Linked DNA regions of Oryctolagus cuniculus. Each later gene encodes a partner of the first gene's protein in a complex. Links are inferred from orthologs where the notes say so. Each region holds a gene or a part of one and is shown on either strand. Other genes may lie near its edges.

The links.
Region 2: the proteins of MYO3B (region 1) and espin are in contact, whole or in part, in a crystal structure (PDB 5ET1), measured with the Mus musculus proteins. The link is inferred for Oryctolagus cuniculus from reciprocal best matches to the Homo sapiens genes MYO3B and ESPN. Residues at the interface, in XP_017174528.1 of Mus musculus: Arg1223, Arg1224, Gln1226, Gln1227, Pro1228, Lys1229, Met1230, Leu1231, Ser1232, Ser1233, Asp1236, Thr1237, Met1238, Tyr1239, Tyr1240, Asn1241, Gln1242, Leu1243; in NP_997570.1 of Mus musculus: Leu35, Ala37, His41, Arg45, Ala67, Asn69, Ala71, His75, Asp76, Ala79, Thr80, Asp101, Ser103, Leu110, Arg113, Phe114, Thr135, Thr137, Ala139, His143, Tyr144, Ala147, Thr169, Asn171, Tyr177, Leu178, Gln181, Ala203, Asp205, Met207.

The regions. Positions count from the first base shown.
Region 1 is NC_091434.1:70,939,935-70,944,440, reverse strand, and holds the start of MYO3B (myosin-IIIb), read left to right. Parts: upstream 1-1,578; 5' UTR 1,579-1,928; coding exon 1,929-1,978; intron 1,979-1,986; exon of another isoform or gene 1,987-4,506.
Region 2 is NC_091438.1:161,061,881-161,065,683, forward strand, and holds part of espin, read right to left. Parts: intron 844-3,803; coding exon 657-843; intron 565-656; coding exon 382-564; intron 292-381; coding exon 160-291; intron 1-159. UniProt on the Homo sapiens protein: Multifunctional actin-bundling protein. Plays a major role in regulating the organization, dimension, dynamics and signaling capacities of the actin filament-rich microvilli in the mechanosensory and chemosensory cells.

The DNA.
Region 1 (4,506 bases):
GGAAAGGGCACATACACAGCTCTGCTGCCTGTGCCGGGAGGACACACTAAGTAGATCAGGCTCACTCATTACCAATTAGCATCATTGTTAATCTTGGCTAAGAGCAGGGCAAAGCCACCAGGGATTGGGCCATTTATCAGCCCGTCCCACGACAGCTGTGGGAGGTTAGTACCCCTTGGGACCTTGGCCAGATGCAAGTCCTTTGGTGACGATGTGTCATACATTCTGGTCAGTGCTCTCCTCCAAGACACCACTTTCTGGGCCTGAAGTGTTCTGCTGTTTTTTTGGAGGAATGAAAATCCAATCTCACATAAGCCGGATTCAGAAAATAGGTCATCGATGTGAGTTGCGGTTATTTTCTTTCCAGCTTCCTCCTGTGCTTGCTTTAGATTGCTTTTCTGCAAAGGGCAGGTGCTCTGCCCTGCCTGCTGGGCAGGCAAAGGGGGTGACGGCCACTCACGCCTCCGGCTCCTGTCAGGCATCACTCGGATTCCTGGGATTTCCCAGTGAGCATCTGCCTTCTGTCTGAGTTGTTAAATTCCCATGAAAAGAACAGGAGAAATATCTTTCTTGGGTACTGATTCTCTCTCTCTCTCTCCCTCTCTCTCTCTCTCTCTCTCTCTCTCACACACACACACACACACACAAAACACTTCATAGCCACTTGATTTGCCACCTGCAGTTCATAATAGAACGGAGCCATGGGATTATAAACCACTTTATTTCTGCACAGAATTTCTCAGCTTGAGGCCAAATTCAAGGGCATTAGTCATCAGCAAATTGCAGTTGGTTTTTTTTTTTTTTAATGTGTTTCACTCAGGAAGATTTAAGGCAGCTAAAGCTGAGATTTCCCTATGCTTTGGTGAGGAAGTGAAAAATCTGATCATGTAGTTAATCATTTGTCATAGCTATGGGCATATATTGTTCCTTAGTGACTGCAACATATGACTGATTGGGCAATCTGGTAACATGACAGTTTGAATGGTATTCGATATATCCCATTATGTTACGGTTCTTTTCTCTCTCAATATTTGTATATGTTTAAGATTTGAAATTCATAGAAAGTGGTAGAAGGAAACTTGAGGATCCACCTGGGTCTCTGCCCTGGAGGTTCGGGGTCAGCAGTTCTGGGTTTGAATAAGCACAGTGAGGGTGCCTGGGGGCGAACTTTGGAAAACCTGTGATTAGCTCAACCTCCTCACTTTTCAGATGAGGAAACCCCGTCACAAAGAGACTTGGAAAACTGGCCAGGATCACAGAAATACAAGCCTGCCACTGAATCCCAGGTCTTCTGGCTTCCAGCTCAGCGCAGGTTCCACGCCGCTAGGGAAGAAATCCCTCATTTTTCTTGTTCTGGAATTACCCTGGCTGCGTGGCTATGAGCCCTTTCAGCAGCAGCTGGGCCTGGTTCTTTAATCGTCTTCCCCGCGGAGGAGGGAGCCCTTCTGTTAGGATCGTGGGATTTTCCTGGCTTCATTGGCTCCCTGCTTGGCTGGGGTCCGGCAGTACCCACCCCACCCACAAGCTCCACAGGAAGTCCCGCCCCTGGCTCCCGGCGGTTCCGGAGTCTGACTTCCCCACTCTGGCTGCAGTCTTCCTCCTCAGCCCTAGAAATCTGTGGGCCCTAACCTTAATTTTTTTTTAAAGATCTATCTATTTATTTATTTAAAAGGCAGAGCTAGAGAAAGAGAACTTCCTTCTACTGGCTCACTCCCCAAATGCCTGGAACAGCCAGGGCAGGGCCAGGAGCCTGGAACTCCATAGAGGTCTCCCACATGGAAGACTTGATGCTTCCTCCCAGGAGCATTAGCAGGGAGCTGGATCACAAGCAGAGTAGCCAGGACTAGCTGAGCATTCCCATATAGGATGCTGGTGCCGCCAGGGCAGCTTAGCCCCCTGCACCACCACGCTGTTCCCTCTCCCTCCGGATGGAAATCCTAGCTGGATCCGGATCCCTCCACCAGAAGTTTCCTTGGAGGTAGAACTACATGAGCAGACGCCTAAATGCGGAGAAGGAGGTTGCTATGGGGCCCTGGAGGGAATGGAGTCAGGATCTGCCCCAGGCCGAGGGCACTGTGAGGGTTGGAATCCGCTGGGTGAACTGGGAAGAGGGGCCACCATGGCGGCGTGAGGGGGAGGTCGGAGAGGAGCTGGTATGGCAGCCGGGGCTGCAGGGCCTCGTGGCTTACAGCAGGGGATGCTGGACCTCACTCTGCGCGTGCTATGCATTTAACAGAGCTTCCTGAAGGGGCCTTTTAGTGGGGCTGCGGCGAGTAGCCTGTGGGGCCGGGAACAAGGACAGACGCTGGAGCCGAACACAGAGGCTGCGTTTGGGCCAGGGGCAGACCCGATGGGCTACCAGGCGGCCGGCTGGGCTGCGGTGCAGAGGGGTGCCGAGGGCCAGCTCCAGCGCCTTCCTCTAATTTCCCCAAAAAGGCCCATTGGTGGCTTGTGGTAGCCCTGGGAGGAGGATAGTGATAAAAGGTGCTTGGGTCATGAATGAGTTTTTCGAGTGGAGTTGACAGAACTTAATGTCCACGCACCAGGGGAGTTCATTGATTAACTCCGTAGTTGTGAGGGAACCTGGAACTTGAGGGAATTGAGAAATCTTGTGTATTTGAAAGCTCTCCTTCCCATCCTATGTGGCGTTCCATGGTCAAGCCAGCTTGTTTTCTGTTTGGCTTTATGATAGAGCCCAAGATGGCATTACCTTGGAGTAGTTTCTCTACCGGGGGTGGGAAAGGGCCATTTTATATTTATGACGTCACGCTTTGGCTTTCAACAGTAGCCGGCTGCAGGTTGATGGCTTTTCAAGTCCATCCTTCAATTGCCTTGGCTGGGCCAGACCCAGTGATTTCCCCCACCTTCTAAGGCCCCGGGCTGGGTTGCCTACCCTTGCAGAAGCAGCTTCCAGAATGTATTCTTTCCAGGGGCGCTGTTCAAGTTATTCATGGCTTTTGGAAAGTTTGGTTATTTCTATTAATGAAATCTACATTTCAGTAGCAAAATGGAGCCTTCATCTACAGAAGCTATATTGAGAAAGAAGCCAAACTGACAAATGGCATTATCACCAGCCCATGAAGATGATAACTTTGATCTGAGTTTCTAATAAGTCTTTTTAAAAAATGCTCAGTGCCATGCCCACTTATCTTTCCCTGCCTGCTCTGTGAGCTTACGGGGCCCTGGGGCTCCGAGCTGCTCTCCTGGCTGAGTGACAGCGTGCTGAGCCCTGTGTTCCTGACAGGTGCAGTGCTGTGCACAAAGTTGAGCAAGCTGCCTAGGCAACGTGGAGGAATCCTTGCTTCTGGTTTGCAGGTGGCATGGTTTGAACCCTGACCATTCTCCCCACACCCTCACCTACAGGTAGAAAGCCTGCATGAGAGAGAGGGCAAGGTCAATGGTATAGACATTGTGATGTGGTGTTAGGCTGCTATGAAAGGCTTACTTGAGCATGAGCCTTGTTGATAGTGCAATAGTCAATCTCATATGTGAGATGGCTGGAAGTGATGTTGGGCTGGTAGTGAGTATAGAATGGCTGTGCAGGACAAAAGGATGATTCACTTTCCAGGAGGGATGGAGCATAATGGTGGGGGATTTTATTACACTACTCAGAATGGCATGCAATTTAAAACTTAGGAATTGCTTATTGTGGAATAAGTTTGTTACTAAATTTAATGCTTTTGGATTGCAGTTGACCACAGGTAACTGAAACCTTGGAAAACAAAACCACAGCTGTACTGGGCTAGAACCTTAGTAGAGGAAATAGAGTTGCAGAGAGGGAGTCACCGGCACCAGCCAAGACAGATAGCTTAAAAGCTTTGGTGTAGATCAGACACTTGGAAGGCAAGTGGAGGACTTACAGCAGGACTTTGGTTGAATGTCCATCTTTATGTGGAGAATGGAAGTTGGCACAGGAAGTGATGAGACATAGAAACCATAAAAGTAAGATGTAGAGGAAACAAAGAGGAGAGAGTGTTGTAGAAAGATGGCAGTGGTGATCAATGGCTAATACTGTAGACGACGAGGACAAGGATTGAGCAAGTGTGTCATGTTTCATGACTGATGGAAGCTCTTAAAAGAGGGGTTAACGTTGTGGTGCAGTAGGTTAAACTGCAATTTGGAATGCCAGCATCCTGTATCCAGAGTACTGTTTCAAGTCCCGGTTACTCCTATTCTGATCCAGCTTCCTGCTAATGGCCTGGGAAGGCAACAGAAGATGGCCCAAGTGCTTGGGCCACTGCCTCCCATGTTGAGAGACCAGGATAGAATTTCTGGCTCCTGACTTCAGAGTGGCCCAGCTTTGGCTTTTGCAGCCATTTGAAGAGTGAACCAGCAGATGGAAAATCAACCTCTGTCTCTCTGTCTCTCTCTCTACCTTTCAAGTAGATAATTTTTTAAAATAACAAAAAGAAAGGAATTAATGGGGTAATTGGGTTAAAAACTGGATCTTCTACCTTGCGGAATATGCCAACATAGCTATACATTGTGTGTGTGTGTGTGTGTGTG
Region 2 (3,803 bases), on another chromosome or scaffold:
CTAAATGAGCTAACACGCGTGGGCAGGTGCACGGACTTGGCAGGTGCCACAGCTGTGTCCCGTGATCTCGCCCAGCTCTCCTTAGACTGCCTCTGGTCCTCCTTAGTACCACCGCGGGTGGGGGGACAGGACGCCGGCAGGGCAGCCCCCGGGGCGTACCAGATTCTCCACGGTGCGCAGGTAGCGGGTGCAGTGGCTGTGGCCGTTGTAGTCCGACAGGTCGGCGGCCGTGTACCCGTCGCGGTCGCGGGCGTCCAGCTCCGCGCCGTTCACCACCAGGATCTGGCAGCACTGCAGGGGGCACGCAGTGAGGACCTCGCGCAGGCTGGGACCGCGCGCGCCCCCCCCCCGCCCTCTGCCCCGCCCCCCGGGCGCCCGGACCTCCAGCTCCCCGTTCTCGGCGGCGTCATGCAGCGGGGTCCCGCCCCACAGGTCCGCCGAGATCTCGCCGCCGTGCAGCAGGAGCCAGCTGAGCACCTTGGCGTGGCCGCGGCTCGCCGCGAAGTGCATGGCCGTGGCGCCATCCTTGTCCTGCTCCGACAGGCTCACGTCGGTACTGCTCACCTGGGCGGGAAGGGGCGTGGGCTGGAGGACAGGCCCCACCCCGGCCCCGCCCGCCCCTGCGCCCCGCCCCTGCGCCCCGCCCCGCCGCTCACCAGCCACACGATGATCGGGCTGTGGCCCATCTGCGCGGCCGCGTGCAGCGGGGTCATGCCGTCGTGGGCGCGCGCGTGCGGGTCCGCGCCGCACTCCTGCACCAGGTACTGCGTCACCTCCAGGTGGCCCTCCTGGCACGCCAGGTACAGGGGCGTGGCACCGTTCTTGGTCTGGGCATTCACTCCCCTGCGGAGACGCAGCGCCCACACGGTGGGCGGTCACCAAGTGTCTGACCCTCTGCCTTTGTCCTTAGTCCTCCTCCATCGGAACTGCCTCTGCGCACACACACACACACACACACACACACACCGGCCTGATTCCCACCGACAGAACAGACCCCGCCACTCTGCCCCGCCTGCCCTGTGCCTACTCCATGGCCAGTGTGCGGCTGACCATGGGTGAGTCTGGCCTGAGCCGGCAGCTGACCACAACACAGATGCTCAGTCAAATCTGAACAAACAAATAATGTCCTGCACACACCAAATATCGCACGGGCAGATGTATGTTAAAACATTATTTATCTGACATTCAAAGTTAATACTGGGTTTTGTTCTTGTTCATCTGGTGACCCTATGGGGTGGGAAGTATGCCACTGCGTGCCATGGTTCTACCAGGCAAGTTCTTTTTTTAAAAATGTTGATTTATTTCCATCTACTTGGATGGGAGGGAAGGGGGGGGAGGGAGAGAGAGAGAGATCTTCCCTCTGTTGGTTCTCTCCCCAGATGCCCACAACAGCCAGGGCGGGGCCAGGCAGGAGTCAGGCGCCTGGAACTGCATGTGGGTCTCCAGAGTGAGTGGCGGGCGCCAAGCACTGCCATCACCTGCTGTCATCTGGCATGCTTTAGCAGGAGGCTGGATTGGCGGTGGGACAGCCAGGACTCGAACCCGCACCCGGATAGGCACTGCTGGGGGGCAAGCAGTGGCTTGACACCAGGCCACAGTGCCTGCCCCAGGCAGATTCTCCGAAGTTCTCCTGCCATTCCCCGTTTTGCAGAGGGGGAGTTGAAGATAAGGCCCGTGTTGCTAAAGGCCGCACAGCTGGTGAGCGGTGTGAGTGCCCATCTGTCTGTGGGATGCATGGCCTGGCAGATGGGAGGGAAGAGGTGAAAGAGAGGAGAGTATGTGAGACCATAGCCCCCTAGGGCCTCTCCTTGATGCACTGCCTCTCATCCTGGCTCCCACAGCCCAGAGGGGTGCTAACAGAACTGGAACGCTGGGCTGGTCCCTAGGCTGATAGGTGCCGATGGAGTGCAGTTACCACAGTGGGGCACTAGGTGGAGCCACAATCCATTCCCCCACCAGACCCAGGAGTGCCCATCCCTTCAGGTGGAGTGGCTCAAGGTGGGGGCTGGGTGCTGTTCTGCTCTGACCAGCCCTCTCGGCCCCAGAAAAAGGTAATTCTTCAACCGGCTTCACATCCTCCCCTTCATCTGCCTCCCCCCAATCTGTCCATCAATGACATACTGCACCCCCACTCATCAAGGCCTTCACTCACTCCAACTGCTGGCCTCCATCTGTCCATCAACACTCACACCACGCCCCCCTCCTCCTCCATCTGCCCACCCAGCATAACTGGCCCCTCCCCACACACCGGGTCCCGCCCCCTGCCCAGAATCTCCACCCCCTTCCCTGTCCCCAGATCACCCCAGGCACCCACTTGCTGCTCTTGCCCTCCTCCTGGCATGGGCCATCCCCTTTGTAGGGCCCCGTGCTGTGTCAGGAGTTTGGGAGGAGCGGGTGCCAGGCCTGGCTCTCACTGTGTACACCCCAGAGCGGACAGCAGCCTGGGTCCTGCCCACAGGGTGCTCAGCCCCACGCCCCTCGCCCACACGCGCAGCCTGCTGCCGCAGCAGGAACTGCCTGTTGAATATTTCATGGGCGGCACTCAGCGGCCTGAATTATTCACCCCGTAACCAAGGCGCAGCAAATGCCGGGGTCCTGGGATCAGGGGCAGAGGGGACTGGCTTCTCTCTGGGGGTCCCAGGCAGTGTACAAGGACGGCCAGATCCGCAGCGGCCCCCGCCTGCAGGCCTGAGCAGCTGGCACAGCAGGACCAGAGAGAGCAGCAGGGCCAGCGGTGCCCACGGCCTCCCTCCAGGCCCCCACTGCCGTTCCCCACAGGGTCCCTGGCACGCAGGAAGCACTGTGCCAGCTTATCTCTGCCACCGTTAGCATCAGCCCCGGGCACTCACGACCCTGTTGGAGACATGGGCGGATGGGCTGAGGGGCCATGGTAAAGCCAGGGTCCCAGCCTTGCTCTCCTCTGCTCGCCTGGCCTGGTGGCCAGCAGACAGACGGGGACCCTCAGTCTCACTGGGGAAAATTCAAAAATCGTGGAGGACCGAGGACCAAGAGAAGAGAGTCCCCCCTCCCCCCGCCACTGGCGAGAGGAGTGAGTGGCTGAGCTCCAAGCTCTGCGGTGGGTGTGACGCACGCATCCCCTCACGCAGCCTCCACCACCGTGTGGGGCGGGTGCCAGCCGTGCTCCCCTTTCACAGATAAGCAGACTGAGGCACAAGGGCCCAAGATCCCTCGAGAAAGAGACATGAGCTGGCTCTGATTCCAGCTGTGCTGTGTCCACACCGTGCTGCCCCATCTGTCTGTCCGTCTCCCTCTCCCCTCCCTCTGCCCTCCTGCTCGGAGCTCACTCAGCTCTGTGTGGCCCTGGGGCGTGGCTGGGGGCTCTCCACGGGAGGGCCAGACTCAGACGAGGAGGCTCTGGCACGAAGCCCACCCCCACACTGTGCTCCTGTCTGGCCACCTTGCCCAGCCCACCTGTGACCTGCAATGGACATTCTGGGCCTGTGGGCTGGACCTGAGATACACCTGCACAGGCCTGGCGCCAGGCACACCCCTGGGGGCAGCCATTACGATACTGTAGGAATTCTCCTCCCTAAGCCCGGAGGGGACAGCCCCAGGGGCCCACTGCTGGCCTGGGGTGTCCAGGCCCTGCCAAGCACAGGTCAGGCCGGGCGCCACTCCTGATAGGAGGACAGGGCTGCAGGGGAGACCTCTGACCTCCAGACCCCTGCCCAGCTGTAGCCCAGGAGTTCTCGCCCCATCCACAGCGACAGCCACAGGAGTGCAGGGACCAAGCCCCGCCAGGGGGTTCAGCAGAGCCCTCAACCTGTCCACCGGCTTTGGGG